Macaca mulatta: one gene and its partner. The protein of the gene in region 1 purifies or fractionates together with the protein of each later gene. This does not show direct contact. Links are inferred from orthologs where the notes say so. Each region holds a gene or a part of one and is shown on either strand. Other genes may lie near its edges.

Region 1 (7,673 bases):
AGCCAAACAGGTAGTGCACGGCCCAGTCCAGGGATCAGAAAACCTTTTTTAATAAAGGGCCAGTCTCTATTGCAACTACTCATTTCTGCCACAGCAGCATGAAACCAGCTGTAGATGATAAAGGCATGGCTGTGACTGTGTTCCAATAAAACTTCATGGACACTGACATTTACATTTTACTTAATTTCCACAGCATAAATTATCATTCACTTTTTAATTTTTCACAACTTTAAAATGTAAAAACCCACTACTGGGTCCTGGGATGTATGAATGGGCTGGATCTGGCATGTGTGTGTGTTTGCCAAACACTGGTCCAGACTAATGGGAGTACCACCCTCCCTCTACAGCTGGCAGTACTGTCTCTACCAATCCAACCAGTTAGTCTAAGAGGAAACATTTAGTTGTCACCTTCTCAACCTTAGAAAAGTGAGGGGACGGCCGGGCGTGGTGGCTCAAGCCTGTAATCCCAGCACTTTGGGAGGCCGAGACGGGTGGATCACGAGGTCAGGAGATGGAGACCATCCTGGCTAACACGGTGAAACCCCATCTCTACTAAAAAATACAAAAAACTAGCCGGGCGAGGTGGCGGGCGCCTGTAGTCCCAGCTACTCAGGAGGCTGAGGCAGGAGAATGGCGTGAACCCGGGAGGCAGAGCTTGCAGTGAGCCGAGATCCGGCCACTGCACTCCAGCCTGGGCGACAGAGCAAGACTCCGTCTCAAAAAAAAAAAAAAAAAAAAAGAAAAGTGAGGGGACGAAGATCTAAACCTGAGTTGAATCACCCACTCCCACACACACCCCTACCTTGGTGATCTTGGTGAGTCGTGAGGTGTCAATGGGGCGGCTACCTTTGCTGATGGGAACTGTGTTCCAGCCACCATCATCCACAAGTGGAAGTCCACGGCCTGACACAAAAAGAGGGGCATACTGGAATAATGAATAAACCTTAGCAGCCCCTTCCCCTTGGGCCACCCCCAGCCTCCCTTCCTCAGATCCTCAGTTCCATCATGGGGTCTCAGTGGCCCAGACACGTGGCACTAACAGGAAGTCATCAGAGGAAAGTATAACCTCCCAGTCTCTTCACTGCTCCCTTCTCAATCCCAGCCTGGAACTCACTGATGGGCGGGCCTGGAGGGCCACCCCGACGCTTGTCACTGCCCTTGGCCATGAGCTGCTGCACTTTGATGTGCTCTCGATGTTCTTCCATCTCAGCCTCCTTATGGATCTGGTCAATGGTCTTGGGACCCTGATCCCCTCGGCGTGGCACCCAATTGCTCTGTGGAGACAGAAGGCCAGTCACGATGATGTCAGGGAAGGCCAGACAAGACAGTGTCAGAAACTGGAGGCAGCAGGCTGGCAGTGGGGAGGAGGGGGACACACACCCCTCGCAGATCCAGCACGTCCTGCAGCATAAAGCGGATGCGGGATGACGTCTTCTTTTCTTTGATGATTTTTTCCATCTGGTTGAAATACTGATCCATTCGGGGCTATGGAGGAGAAAGGCATCAGACCAGGAACTTCTCATGTCTCACCTATAACTGCAGGCCCCACCCCTCCCCTCAGGCCTTCCGCCCCGTCCCTGTGGCTCAGTGAGCCCCGCATGCTTCAGCCCATCCCCCTCCAGATGCAAGAACCTCTACCTTGGCTTTTTCAAAGTCCAGGTCTTTGCCAATGGTGGTAAGCAGACGACAAAGGCACTCAAGGGACTCTTCATCATGGTTCTTAAGCAGTTTGACCACACAGTCATGCATTATTGCCTCTGTTAACATCTTCAGCTTGAACAACTCCCCAATAAACTTGATATTCCCTAAAGAGCGCCGCCGGGCTATGTCCCGAGCCTCTTCCAGCTCTTCCTTAAGGCGTCCTCGTTCCTCTGCCTGCCATTCACATGACAGGGATTGTGTCAAAAAGATAGCCAGCCACTCTGCTAAAACCCTTTTCTACCTGGATATCCAAACTTAGCAATAAGCACTCAGTCCTGAGGCAGGCTGGCTGGGCATAGTGGCTCATGCCTGTAATCCCACCACTTTGGGAGACCGAGGCAGACAGATCACTTGAGGTCAGGAGTTTGAGACCAGCTTGGCCAACATGGTAAAACCCCGTCTCTACTAAAAATGCAAAAAAATTAGCCAGGTATGGTGGCACATGCCTGTAATCCCAGCTACTTGGGAGGCTGAGGCAGGAGAATCGCTTGAACTCGGGAGGTGGAGGCTAGCCAAGATCACGCCACTGCACTCCAGCCTCGGTGACAGAGCGAGACTCTGTCTCAAAAAGGAAAAAAAAAAGTTCTGAGCCAGAGAAATCCCCAAGACACCACTATTTCCATTCCAAATTCTACAGTTGAGTAGAATCTGGGTGAGGGAAGGAGCTAAGTGGGGAGTGGAATCGGTAGTGGGTTTTCTCTCACCGTAGCAGCTTCATCCATCTCTTTTTGCTTCTTCTCAAAAACCTCATCATCATCTTTGTCTTTCTCAAACTCCTTCTGACATCGATTCAACAACAGCTTTCGGAAGTTTACAGTCACTGTTGGCTTTTCCGTAGTGGGCACTTTCAGCTGCAGGTCGGAGAGAATGTCACACTCAGACTAGTACTGGGCAGGGAAGGCCCTCCAAGAGCCTTTAACTACCTGACCCAGGAAGATATCTGGCCCCAGCTGTGCCTCCTTCCAGCTGGAAGAGGTGCAAGTTGGAGGAGAACCAAGAAGCTGGACTCAAGGAGTCTTGGGAATAGAAATGGGCAACTAGACCATAAGATTTAGAACCCAGTGGAAACTAACCGCCATGAGGCAGCGGCACATGTTGGCATAGGCCACAGAGAAGTTGGGCTCTGAAATGGCCTTCTCAAAAATGAGGTCAATGACCCCTTTGAGGCGTTCCTCGGTGTCAATGGCCAGCTGCGTCACTTGCTTCATCAGCTGCTGGAACATCTGGGGTGTCAGCTTATTCAGGATGGAGCGCACCCTGCGGAATAGGTCCTGGAGGAAGAGGAGACAAGAGTTCCAGTGAGGGTCTCAGAACAGGCTGTTCAGAGGGACAGGAGAGAGTGGTGGGGACTTAGGCATGACAGATGCTACTGATAAGGACAAAAAGCAGCAAAGAGGGCACTGACAGCAGACATGGAAAAGAAATGGAGAGAGACCAAAAGCAGGACTCGCCAGTACCTGGGTTTTGCTGCCATCAGCATCCTCTTCCCCTCGGTCCTTATCAGCTGCCGTCCGCTTGCTGCTGGGTTTCCAGGCTTTCTCTGCTTTGTTCAGTTTTATATCTTCGGTCATTAACACTGTGGCAATGATCTTGCGTGGTTCTTTTCGGGTGCCCTGCTGAGAGCGCCGGGGTCCCAGGCCAGCCTGCTAAGCAAGAGATGAAGACAAGAGGGGACGTGGAACTAGTCAGCACAATATGTGATACCACTACTACACGCCTCCAGGGCAAAACCCTCCCCGTCAGCACTGAGACACAGGGGAATCATCCACTCCCACTCCTTACCCACCTGCCCCTTTACCCAGCCCCACTCACCGGCCCTCGGGGCAGCTCCCCACCTGGCCCACCCCTTGGGGGCCCACGGGTGCTAAGGGCTGGCCGGCCAAGGTTGGCAAAGGATGGAGTGAAGTCTGGGCCATAATTTATGCCTTGTAGTCTAGTGGGGTCCAGTGGTCGCAGTGGTGTTTTATTGGCCTGCAAAGAGGACAGGAAAAGGTCTTAGAAGCAGGCTAGAGCAGTTGACTACTCTTTCAGGACCTCAGGCTCCTCCCCAATCCATCCAGCACAAACTTATCGTCCCCTCCCTGACTCAAGCCACTAACCTTGTCCAGCACCACATCACTGATATGGGGCAATCCCTCTGGCTTCTGCATACTGGCAAAGATGAACTGAAAACCAAGCAGGAACTCACGGTCGTAACGTTTTTTCTCCTCTAGATTTAGAGGCTTCCACTGATCTGCGAGGAAGAGAATGAAGCAATCATACTGTCTTCTCTGGCCCTAATAAGAAAACTCAAGTCATTCTCAACCCTTTCTTCAGCATACCTGACTTATATTCATACTTCTGTTCCCCGGGCTGGATGTTCTCAGCATTGTGAATTTTGTCTTCCTTTGAGTCCCAGGTCTCATCTGCTTCCTCAGGACGTGGGGGCACACCACTGCCCTCAGACTCTGGGCCTGGATTGCTGCCTGCAGGAGGCTGATTTTCCACCTCTGGTACTGCCGGGTTTGCCTAGAACAACAGAACACCAGTTTTGGTTGCACAATGACCACTGTTCCATACCTCAACTTGGCCCTCTCCCCTTCCGTTTTCTGCTCCCTTACCTCCTTGAAGGCATCCAGAAGGTCTCCAACAGCCTCCTTCTTATTTAGCTCCTTAATTTTCCGTCTCCTCTTTGGCACAGATACTGCCACTAATTTTAAAAAATAAATAAAAGCATGGGTCTTTGCCAATAATTTAAGGAGTACCCTTAATCCCTGGGAAATAAAAAGCAGCCAAAGTACATATTTCCCCTTTGCATCACAGTCTTCAGGCTTAAAAGTCCTTAATCTAGTTCTTAGATTCCATTGCAGGGCCTCTATGACCCAGAAACATGGCAAAAACGGGAGGTCATCAAGGAGGGCAAGGAACCACATCCCCTAGCCCACCCTACCTCTACTGCCCAACCAATCCTTACCTTGAGTGGCCGCTGCTGCCTCCAAATTCTGAGACAAGTTGGCTGGAACAGGGGTGCTCTCTGAGGGGAGCAGTTCCTCTCCTCCCTTCTCACTCTCAGCTTCTCCTGCTTCTCCTTCTTCCTCTTCTTCTTCTTCTTCTTCCATTTCCTCCTCCTGAGCGGGGGAAGTAGCTGAAGGAGCCATAGCTGGAGTGGCAGAGAGGATGGTGGCGGGCGCCACTGATGCTGTCACCTCCTTGGCCTGCTCCTCTGGCTCACTGACTGGGCTTAAGTCCACAGCTGGTGGCGAGGGGGCTCCGTTGAGCAGTTCCTCAGGTTGGGCAGTTGGAGCAATGGGCACAGGGGATTCGGAGGGGCAAGCTGGTGGAAGAGCAAGCTCTGGGCTGGACTCCACCTCTGGTTCCAGATCTTCAGATGGGACCATGCCATTAGGCTCATGAATTTCCACTGTGTGAGATGCCAGAGGAGTGGAAGCCTGGAGAGGACTGGAAGAGAATTCAGATTCTGGAACCGGTTTGCTAAGTGTCACTTCTACTTCCAGTATGGGTTCGGCGAGAGGAGTGGGTTCTGGAGAGAGGCGATATGGCTCCCCAGTTTCACGGGAGATGGGGGTTGATTCTTCTACAGACATTTGTATAGTTGCCATAGTGTCCCCAGGAATAGAGAGGACTGCGAGATTAGGCTCAGACCCCGGTTCCAAGACTGGGGATGGTGATGGGGTCGGAGAAGGTGACGAAGGCTGGGATTCTGAAGGGCTGTGCTCTGGGCCAGGCAGCCCTGGCCGGTCAGCAATGATTGCTCCCTGTGACCGGTCATCTGCACCATAGGAAGGAAGAATGAGCAACTAAAGGCAAGTGCTTCACTGCTGTTGTTCCTCCCCATCCTCCAGCCAAGGTATTTCCAACTTAACACTCCCACGTCATCATCTCCCACCTAAGCTATACTTCCACTTTCATCCAAAACCCAATTCACCCTCAAAATCCCACGACCTGAAATCTAAGTCATCCTTCTCTGGTACCCAGTTCAAGTCACTCCACCACCTCAGCATTGAGGTGACAGCAAACTGTCAACATTCCCTTTCCCCGTAAAAGTTCCATCCCACCCGCTTACTTACCTGGCCGGACAATGACAGCAACCTGGGGCGTCTCCCCATTAGCTTGAGGCTCCAGACCGCCTCCCGTCTGCAGGACACAAAGGGTTACCAAGTTTGCACTGAAGAGTCCCACAACCCTTCTTTACTAGAGCCATTTCTACTTTAGCTCTGCCTAGAAATCCAGGAAAGCAGGGAAATAAATCCCTTAGTTGAAAGAAAAGATCCAGAGACTTGGGAGTCCAGGGCAGAACAGACATCCCAGTCAGGGTATCGCTCAAAAAACAGACAGTACCTGGGGAGGGGTGGGTGTGGAGGCAGTGCGGGCCCCAGACATGATCTCCTCCGTGATATCCTTTCCTCCTTGGTTTGGATCTCGAATTCGGATCTGGGGAAAGAAAGTTATGGGATGAGTGGGAAGCAGGAAGAGCCCACCTCTCCACCCTGCCCCACTCTTAAGACTCTGGGCCAACTCCCCACCCCACACTGGGAAGCAGGTAGGTAGGTGCCAGAAACCCCTTGAGTTCCACTTTCAGCCCATCTGGCTGCTCTTGTAGTCCCTGCCCTAGCTCCCACCCTTAAGAGACCCTTGACCTCACAAAGCAGCCCTGTACATCACAATGCCCCTCCCTCCCTCATCCCTACCCCACCAGCAGTCCCCAAGCCAGTGGCTGCACACCCTGGGGCCCAAGACCCCCATCTAGCACCCAATCGGCTCACTTGTGGCTAGTGTGCCTGATCTCTGGGGGCAGGGCCCAGATCCAGTAGGTGGAGCCAGGGTGACTCAGCGGCTTCCCCAGCTCTGGCACCCTATTCTGGGCACCACGCCCAGGGCTTGAGGACTGAGCAGAGGCGGAGGCCTTGAGAGCTTCCAGGACTTGTGGGGGGGGCCGGGTGGGGATGGGGGCTGGGGCCACAGAAAACAAACCATTTCCAAGGCAAGCCACCAGAAGCCCAAAAGCAAGCACAGTTCTTCCAACCTCCCAGCACCCAGGTCTCACAGGAACTTCCTCGCTAGCCACTTCAGTCTTCCCATGACCTGCTTCTATGCTAAAATCTTAGTATCTTACAAAGAACCTGAGCCTTCCACAGACCCCATTCTCTGCCCACTCTCAGCTCCTTCCTCAAGTCACTGTTCTTTCCGGCACAATGTCCCAGCAGCATCTGACCTTGATTCTCCCCTTCCCAGATGTCCCGGAGCCCCTCGCTGCTACTCACCGTCTTACGTTCCCTCTTGGGAGCAATCTGGGGTGGCTGGTTCATCAAAACTGGGGCGGGGGCCACACCAGTGGGAAACTGCTGCACCCCTTGGGCTGGATAGTAGGCGCCAGCTTGGGGGAGGGGGACGGAGAAGAATGGTGGTAGCGTCAGGGCCCAACCATATCCTAATGCCTGCTTGACACCTCCCACCCCAAAACCTCTCAACACCCACAGCCGGCCCCTTGCCCTGCCCTGCCCTCCTCCCCCAGGGAATCAGGTGTCTGTCAAAGCTGGGGAACCAGTCTGAACTGCGTTTACAAGAATTCCTAACACTGACACACACACATACACACATCTCATAGGCAGGCACTCCTTACCCACCACACACCAGCAACCAAGAGGACTTATGTCTGTCCTTCTACTGTACAAGGTACTCTCATGTAGGTACCCCACCCGCTATCAACGTGTACACACATACTCTGAACCTGAAACAGAACCAGGTCTTTGGCTGGGAATGAAAGAGATTTGACAACCCTGTTCCATTTAACTTGAGTCCAGTTCCTGTCTCCAGCCCTTTACAAAGGGGCAAAGAAACAAAGTAACATTATGAGCTAGGCTCAATATGAAGAAAAATTAATTCCTTAAAGCAAACTATCTCCAAAGTGGGGTGCGTTCTTTTTTTCCCCTTAAATATATATGCATTTTTTTGAGATGGAGTCTCACTCTGTT
Region 2 (7,673 bases), on another chromosome or scaffold:
ATCTGATAACCTAGACAGCTACCATGTGACGAATGCATGAGTAGTGTATACATTGCAGATACACACTGGACAACGGAATGGCTCACATCCTAGGCAGGATGAGGTGGATGAAGCTGGACAGCGGGAGATCTCATCACACTACTCAGAATGGCATGCAATTTAAAACTTTTGAATTACTTCTGAAAGTTTCCAATCAGTATTTTCAAACCACACTGAACCATGGATAACTGAAACTGCGGAAAGTGAAACCACGGATAAGAGGAGACTGCTATATTTGCAACCTGTGACTGGCTTCAGCCTAAAAACATATACTTGAAAGATTAAGACATTTTTAGCAAAGATTCTACAGTACTTGAATCCTACTAGTTTCATATTTGTCATATTCTCTTAGAAATATTTCCATGTCCAACTATTACTTAAAACAGTTAAATACATACATACAACACACAATAAAAACAATGTAACATATACTCTTTAACATTTTCCTGTCTAAAATTTCCATCACCGTGTCTTACCTTATGCAAAGACACGATTTTCAAAAAACATAATCAAAATGTTTGGGATTTGCTTCAAAATAATCCAAAACAGGGTAGGGCAAACAGGCCAAGAGAAGACAGAGAGTAAATGGAATGAAACAAGACTGCCTATGAGTTTGTAATTATTTAAGTTTGTAAAGCTAAGAGAAGAGTACAAGCAGATTATACTATTCTACTTTAAAATTTCCATTAAAAAAATATTAAAAATTCACTACACAATCTTATTAAAAATTTACATTTTCAGCATTATCCCTAAAAGATGCACGTCCCCAAAACAAAATTAGTTACCATTCTAAACGGTAATATTTAAAAGCAACCTAGTATCTCTAACTCATAATATTCAAAAGAAGATATTCTCAATTATAATTACTATAGAAACAAACTATATTAACAGAATTTACTGAAAAATGGTCAACTTAATAATCCTAAGTGAATTTGTAAAGAGCTATTTTTGACTCACTACGGAAACCAAGTGAAAGTTATGCATATATTACTGTCAGTTTACTTGGTTTCCTAATCCAAAACATATATATATATGATTTGACACATGTATGAGTAAACTACAAACATGAAGTCAAAAAAGTTCATAAACATTTTAAATATTATGAAAAAGCAAAGCACTGATACCTGGTCATCATCATAGTTAGGATCTTTCACATCTACCTCCTCCACATCATACACCTGTCCAGGTGTACCCCAGACACCTTTGCCTCCTGCACCACCTGAAAAAGTTTAGAATTGAGAAAGAAAAAACATAAAATTCATCAATTTGTTGAAATCTAAAATAATCCTAAATGTTCCGATGTTAAATAACAGCTAAAAAAATTTGTATTTAATGTCTATGTTACTTTTTTTTCCAGTTTTCTTTCCCTATTGGTTTCCTTTTTGTTCAGACCACTCTTTCAATATTTCTGAAAACATTAAGTTCAAATAGCTTATGAAGTTAAAAACTAAAAAAGCAGATACTTTAAAATAAAAGCAAAAACAAATAAAGATAAAAAATAGCTATACTGAGGACCTCAAAGGGTATGATATTGCAGCTGAGCTCTAAATTTTATTCGACATTTCTTTGGGACCAAGACAAAAAGAAACATGCTGGGCCAGTAAAGCGTAGCATAGAAAACTCAACAAGGGAAAAATTATTTGACAAAAAAGGACAGTAACCACCATCAAATATTTTAAAGTCAAATACAGTACTCTTTAAATATAAAAGTACACATTAAACCACACTATTAAGCAATATATTACAAATATAGAAAACAATACTAATTGCTTTTAAGCATTAACAGCCCTGAAAATTCTATTTTCTAAATACAAAACAACCAATAGAAGCTTAACAATTCCAATTTTCGAAGTTGCTTTTCTACATCAACTTACTGAAATGTTTTAAGGACCAATGCACTACATTATTTTTTAAAGAATCTTTACAATGTCACCAACATTTCTGTTTTTGGAGGGTTTTATTTTGTACCAACTATATCCTTGCCATCAGACCAAAACAGAATCTGATAACCAGGTTTCATTTTGATATAAACCATGATTGCAGAGCCATTCAACAAAAATAATTTTTGACACCACAAAAACATTTTACAAGAAACCTACACTATAAATTGAAGTTCCCACCATTCAAAAGATGATGAAATCATCAGAAAACTCTTAATCAACAAATATTTGTCTATGATGTGCTAGTCACTATTTCAGGTACTAGAGATACAGCAGTGAAACAGACCAATGCACTACAGAACCCAAAATAAAGAGCTAATGAGAACTCACAACCAGATCTCGGAAAACATTAAAATTCAGATCCAGATGTTATCAATCAAATTTATGTTTACTAGTAGTAGTAATGAACATAATTATATTAATTAAATAAGTATGATGGATTTCTGACTCCTTTCAAACTTAAAGAACATATGCAAAACTCGTAACAGTGAAAAACATCAGTGCATATTTTGCTGGAAATAAACCGTTAACATTTTGCTAAAGAAAATTAAATCTACTCAAACAAGAAAAAAGATCAACCTAAAGAAAAAGTGAGATGGTCCTCACCTTATTACTAAGTAAAAATATATACAAACTGTAAAGCCTTATATTATCACTGTTTTAATTTCTCTCATTCCTAGAACAAGGAAATTGTAGTACAAGAACCAGACAATTTTTTTCCACTTGTTTATCTTCCATTTGTTGGACATGATATATACCAACCTTTCTTTGGTAGTCCCCTTCCTTTCCCAGATCTGGATCGCCTATCCAGCAACCTTCCCTTTGGACTGGTTGGCACAGTTACTCCACTTCTAAGGGCATCACTCCCATTGTCGCTGACCGAATCGCCTCTGCCAGAGTCCCGGGATGAGTTTTTCCTTAGTCGTCTTTTTGCCTTGGCATTAATTCTAGCTTCATTAATGGAGGATGCTGAAATCCAATTTCCATTTATTTCATTCTTTATTTCCTCAGTCCCAGGGTTTTCTTCATCACCAGAAAAGAGACAGTCACTTAAATTATCAGGATCTTAAAGAGAAAAATGAAGAAAGAAAATTCTTTTTTTTTTTTTTTTTTTTTGAGACGGAGTCTCGCTCTGTCGCCCAGGCTGGAGTGCAGTGGCCGGATCTCAGCTCACTGCAAGCTCCGCCTCCCGGGTTCACGCCATTCTCCTGCCTCAGCCTCCCAAGTGGCTGGGACTACAGGCGCCCGCCACCACGCCCGGCTAATTTTTTTTTTTTGTATTTTAGTAGAGACGGGGTGAAAGAAAATTCTAAGTATTTTAAGTATCTACTGTTTTACAGACATAGTGGTAAGTTAGATTAGGTTGAATCACATGACACGACCATTTTTGTGGGTAAATTACAGTCGCATATTGGGAATTTCATCTACTTCAATCTAATAAACAACAACTAAATAAGATTATTTTTCACATTATCAAGGAAAGTAAACCAAGGCACTGAATTTTAACAGTTTACCAAAAGAAGCATGTTATTTCACGTGTTTAGATCATAAAATCTATGCTAACAGCAACACCAAATATAAAACCCTTAGACTTTTATGAGCTAAGAGTTAAGCAATTGGAGATATTAAGAAAAGACAAAGCATCTTGAGAAGAGACACAAACTAATATTTATAGAATGCCTACTATTATTTATCAGGCACTGTACTAGACACTCTATCATTTATTTATGCACAAGTTTGGCAGTTAGTTATTATAACATTGAGGACAGATAAGGAAACTAAGGCTGAGAATGTTTAAATGATTTGCCAAACATCCCGTAACTAGGTATAAATACTTAAGATCTATTAGTAATCCAAAAAAGAACGAAAGGAATTTAGCAAATAATCCATATGATTGTTAAGCTGAACTGCTGGTGCTTTACTGCCTCAAGATAAAGTTTGCTTTCAAGAAAAGCCATCATCTCAAAGTCCTAATTCATCTCCCTAAACTGTTCTCATATTACTTACCATCCTGAAAATCTTCCAGCCTATATAAAATTGATTCTTCTAAAAGAGATCAACATACTGGAGTTTCCAGTGGTTCCCCTACTTAGAATGTCACCCTCATTGTTATTTTCAGTTATCAAAATCCTTTAGGATATAGCCCAAGTCTTACTCCCTCCATTAAAACTTCCCTTACAACTCTAGCTACAGTAACACTAATTGCTCACATACTATTCATTCAACACGTCATGGAAAGCACTTTCTTTTTATATAACAGTCTTTTTCTTCCAACTAAGTCATACGCTTCAAATGAGAAACCACAACTAGACTGTATGTCCTTCTCTGTATCCCCATCACCTAGCAGAGTGTCCTTCATACTCAAATTCGATGGAGATCAAGTGGAGGCACTTGGCTTTGCCCTGAAAGCTCTTTAAGTCAGAAAGGCTACTGAATTAGCTACCACTGGGCCAGAGTTTTGTTCATTATTGTTAACTCAAATCAGAGCTGAATCACTCAAATCATTTTCTATATGCCTAAAGATAATTATAACATGTCAGGTCTATGTGCATGGACTTTAACGTTTTAAGATATATTCAAACCAAAAATTTTCATCAACCTATAAAAAGCCTACATGTGTTTAAATCTTTACAATTCTTGACATACTTAGGAAGGTGGGAATGTTTTATTGTAAACAAAATCATCTATTAGAGCCAAATTTTTTCACTAGTCTCCTAAGTAGTCTCCCTGCCTGCAGTCTTCAAACTATACTGAATGAAGGCTGATTTTCTCATGCATGCCCTCACTGAAGATCCTTTAAAAGTAATCCCATTATGTCACAAAACATGTAAACTCTTTTTTTTTTTTTTTGAGACGGAGTCTCGCTCTGTCGCCCAGGCTGGAGTGCAGTGGCACAATCTCAGCTCACTGCAAGCTCCGCCTCCCAGGTTCACGCCATTCTCCTGCCTCTCCCTCCCAAGTAGCTGGGACTACAGGCTCCCGCCACCACGCCCGGCAAATTTTTTTGTGTTGTTAGCAGAGACAGGGTTTCACTGTGTTAGCCAGGATGGTCTTGATCTCCTGACCTCGTGATCCGCCCGCCTCGGTCTCCCCAAGTGCTGGGATTACAGGCGTGAGCCACCGCAGCTGGGCAAAATGTAAACTCTTTACCTTGTAACTTGATCTTGCCCTTGCTTACCTCACCAGAATCACTGCTAACTACTCCCACACTAAAATTGTCAGAGCTTAAGTTAGATATCATAGGAAGGAGATGGGAGGGATTCATTTGGCAGAAGAATATTGAGTATATTACAAAAAGAGTATGTATAAAGTGGGAAACCACTAAGAAAATGTTTCAGTAATTCAGTCACAAGCTAACTGGTAAAGAGCAAGGGTAGTAACTGTGGGAAAATAATAATGTTATACTTTTAAAGAAAATAATAAAGGCTTTTAAGCAGAATGTATCTACGATTAAAGAGAAGTGGAACAATGCCTTAAAAGTTTTCGAACTGGTGAGAAGCCGGTGTTAGGATGGTGTGTTTGGGACATCATCACAACCATCAGCAGTAATTACAGTCTTAGTGGAAGCAGCCGTAGTACTGTTTCTTTCATCATTACCACTACTATTGTCAACTATTAGATTCCAGGTTCCACACTACATGGTACCTATTAGATACCAGGTTCTATGCTAGGCACTTTACATATGTGGTCTGTAAGCCTCAAAAGCTGTAGAAAGAAACTGTTTATCCTCATTTTACAGAAGGAATGTGTTTCACAAGAAGTTACATATCTAGAAAGGATTATGGCTAGGATTCAAACCCATATTTTTAATCCCATATGACTATAACTACAGAAAATACAAAACTGGAATATCGCAGAGTATTGACAGCTAAAGAAAAATGGACAAGGGAGTGAAAGTAAAGAGAGATAAACAAAAATGATTAAGTAGAAGGGGCAGAAAGACCAGGATCAGATAAATTAGATGACATTTTCATGTAAGAGTGGATGGTTGAGAAAAACATTAAATATCTACCTGTAACATAGCGCTTTCATCGTTGCACTATTAAGGTGAACCACAAAACTAGTCCAGAAGACACAGGACTCAGAACTATAATAAAATGTCTTAAACTGTCCCTTGGAGTATTCAATTTAAATGTATCTATTTCCCATAATCAAGTTTTCTTTTCTTCAACCATTTTAATATTCTTTCAAGTATGTTTATGTCTCTGCAGCAGTAAACATTCTCTCTCAGTATAATTTATATATTTGACCTTATAATTTTTAACCTATGTTTATATTAATTGCTTTATATTTTGTTATTCATACTAACCTAAGTGTTGGAGTTCCATAGCCCCTATTGAGCTGACTTTAAGAAAACCAAAATTAAAATGATAACCTGAGTACAGAATGTGATGACTTCAAAACTGTTTTCTATTGTGTACTAATTCCCTCTTTCTGAATTCTGACATCTCAATAGTAACCACTCTAATTGTATATGACCACAGCACCCGAAAATCACATTTTCAATTAGTGGTGTCCAATGAGTGGCATAATTAGAATATTACCACATTTTCATGTATTACATACCTACTATGTGCTTCACAGACTTAACACACATATACAGTATCTCACTAAATCCTAATTATAAATCTATACAGAGGGTGTTTATATCCCAATTTTATACACTAAGAAACTGAAGGTCAGAATAAATAACCTACTTCCTCCAAGTAAAAGAGTAAGAGTGTGACTTGGATTGCTATGGAAAGAACTTACTACAAAGAGGGTCTGTCTTACGCCTATCCAAATATTGAAGAACAAGTTTTTTATTTTAAGGCAGTGCTGGACAGAAGCACCAAGAACAGGGTTAAAACTAGGTCTTATTATAGTTAGGAACAAAAAGTATACATTTTAAAGCTATGTTTCTATTTCTAATAGAAATAGAATGCAAGTCACATAAGAAATTTTAAATTTTCCAGTAACCACATTAAAAAGTAAAACCAGGTGAAATTAATTTAAATAAATTTTATTTAATCTAATATAACCATAATATCATCTCAACATGCAAGCAATGTAAAAAATTATTGAGATAGTTGACCTTCATCTCAACTCAGAGTAGCCACATTTCAAGTACTCAACAAACACATGTGGCGAAGCGCAGTGGTGCACACACCTGTAATCCAGCTACTGAGGAGGCTGAAGAGGGAGGATCACTTGAGCCCAGGAGTAATAATAATCACATGTAGCTAGTGGTTACTATACTGGACAGTGCAGAAAAGTAGCAATTACCTATATGTAAAATATATTCTTAAACTCTATTACCATCCCCATCTCAATTAAGTAGGTATATATTACCCATTTATAACCCTAAAGCATACTCATACAGCTTCTGTACATAGCAGCACAGAAATGATCATTAATTACATAAAAATTTTTTCAATTTTTTACCACACTTTAAAAAGATCTGTAAATAAACAATGGTAAAGAAGCTTCAAATTCAACATGTTTGTTCAGATCAAAGAAAACTATGTATGTTGTAAACAATAGTGAGTTGTCATTGAAGAAATAAAGATGTAGTAATGAAATACACTTAAAATGACAGAAAATACACAGCTTTCAATATTAATAAAATTATAAGGCAAAGAATTATCTAAAGTATACCAATATGAACTGTTCTCACTATTCAGATATTATACAATTCTAATTACCTTTTTGGGG

What was found. The genes of interacting proteins can lie anywhere in the genome.
Region 2: the proteins of EIF4G1 (region 1) and PDCD4 purify together in Homo sapiens (affinity purification with western blotting; 3 studies listed by BioGRID and IntAct, with this or other methods). This does not show direct contact. The link is inferred for Macaca mulatta from reciprocal best matches to the Homo sapiens genes EIF4G1 and PDCD4.

Annotation. Positions count from the first base shown.
Region 1 is NC_133407.1:96,458,810-96,466,482, reverse strand, and holds part of EIF4G1 (eukaryotic translation initiation factor 4 gamma 1), read right to left. Parts: intron 7,076-7,673; coding exon 6,963-7,075; intron 6,133-6,962; coding exon 6,040-6,132; intron 5,836-6,039; coding exon 5,769-5,835; intron 5,471-5,768; coding exon 4,655-5,470; intron 4,600-4,654; exon of another isoform or gene 4,521-4,599; intron 4,391-4,520; coding exon 4,302-4,390; intron 4,210-4,301; coding exon 4,023-4,209; intron 3,935-4,022; coding exon 3,801-3,934; intron 3,673-3,800; coding exon 3,514-3,672; intron 3,348-3,513; coding exon 3,159-3,347; intron 2,973-3,158; coding exon 2,775-2,972; intron 2,553-2,774; coding exon 2,406-2,552; intron 1,876-2,405; coding exon 1,639-1,875; intron 1,486-1,638; coding exon 1,381-1,485; intron 1,275-1,380; coding exon 1,115-1,274; intron 1,059-1,114; exon of another isoform or gene 983-1,058; intron 904-982; coding exon 803-903; intron 1-802.
Region 2 is NC_133414.1:123,059,690-123,067,362, reverse strand, and holds part of PDCD4 (programmed cell death protein 4), read right to left. Parts: intron 3,045-7,673; coding exon 2,742-3,044; intron 1,259-2,741; coding exon 1,164-1,258; intron 1-1,163. UniProt on the Homo sapiens protein: Inhibits translation initiation and cap-dependent translation. May excert its function by hindering the interaction between EIF4A1 and EIF4G. Inhibits the helicase activity of EIF4A. Modulates the activation of JUN kinase.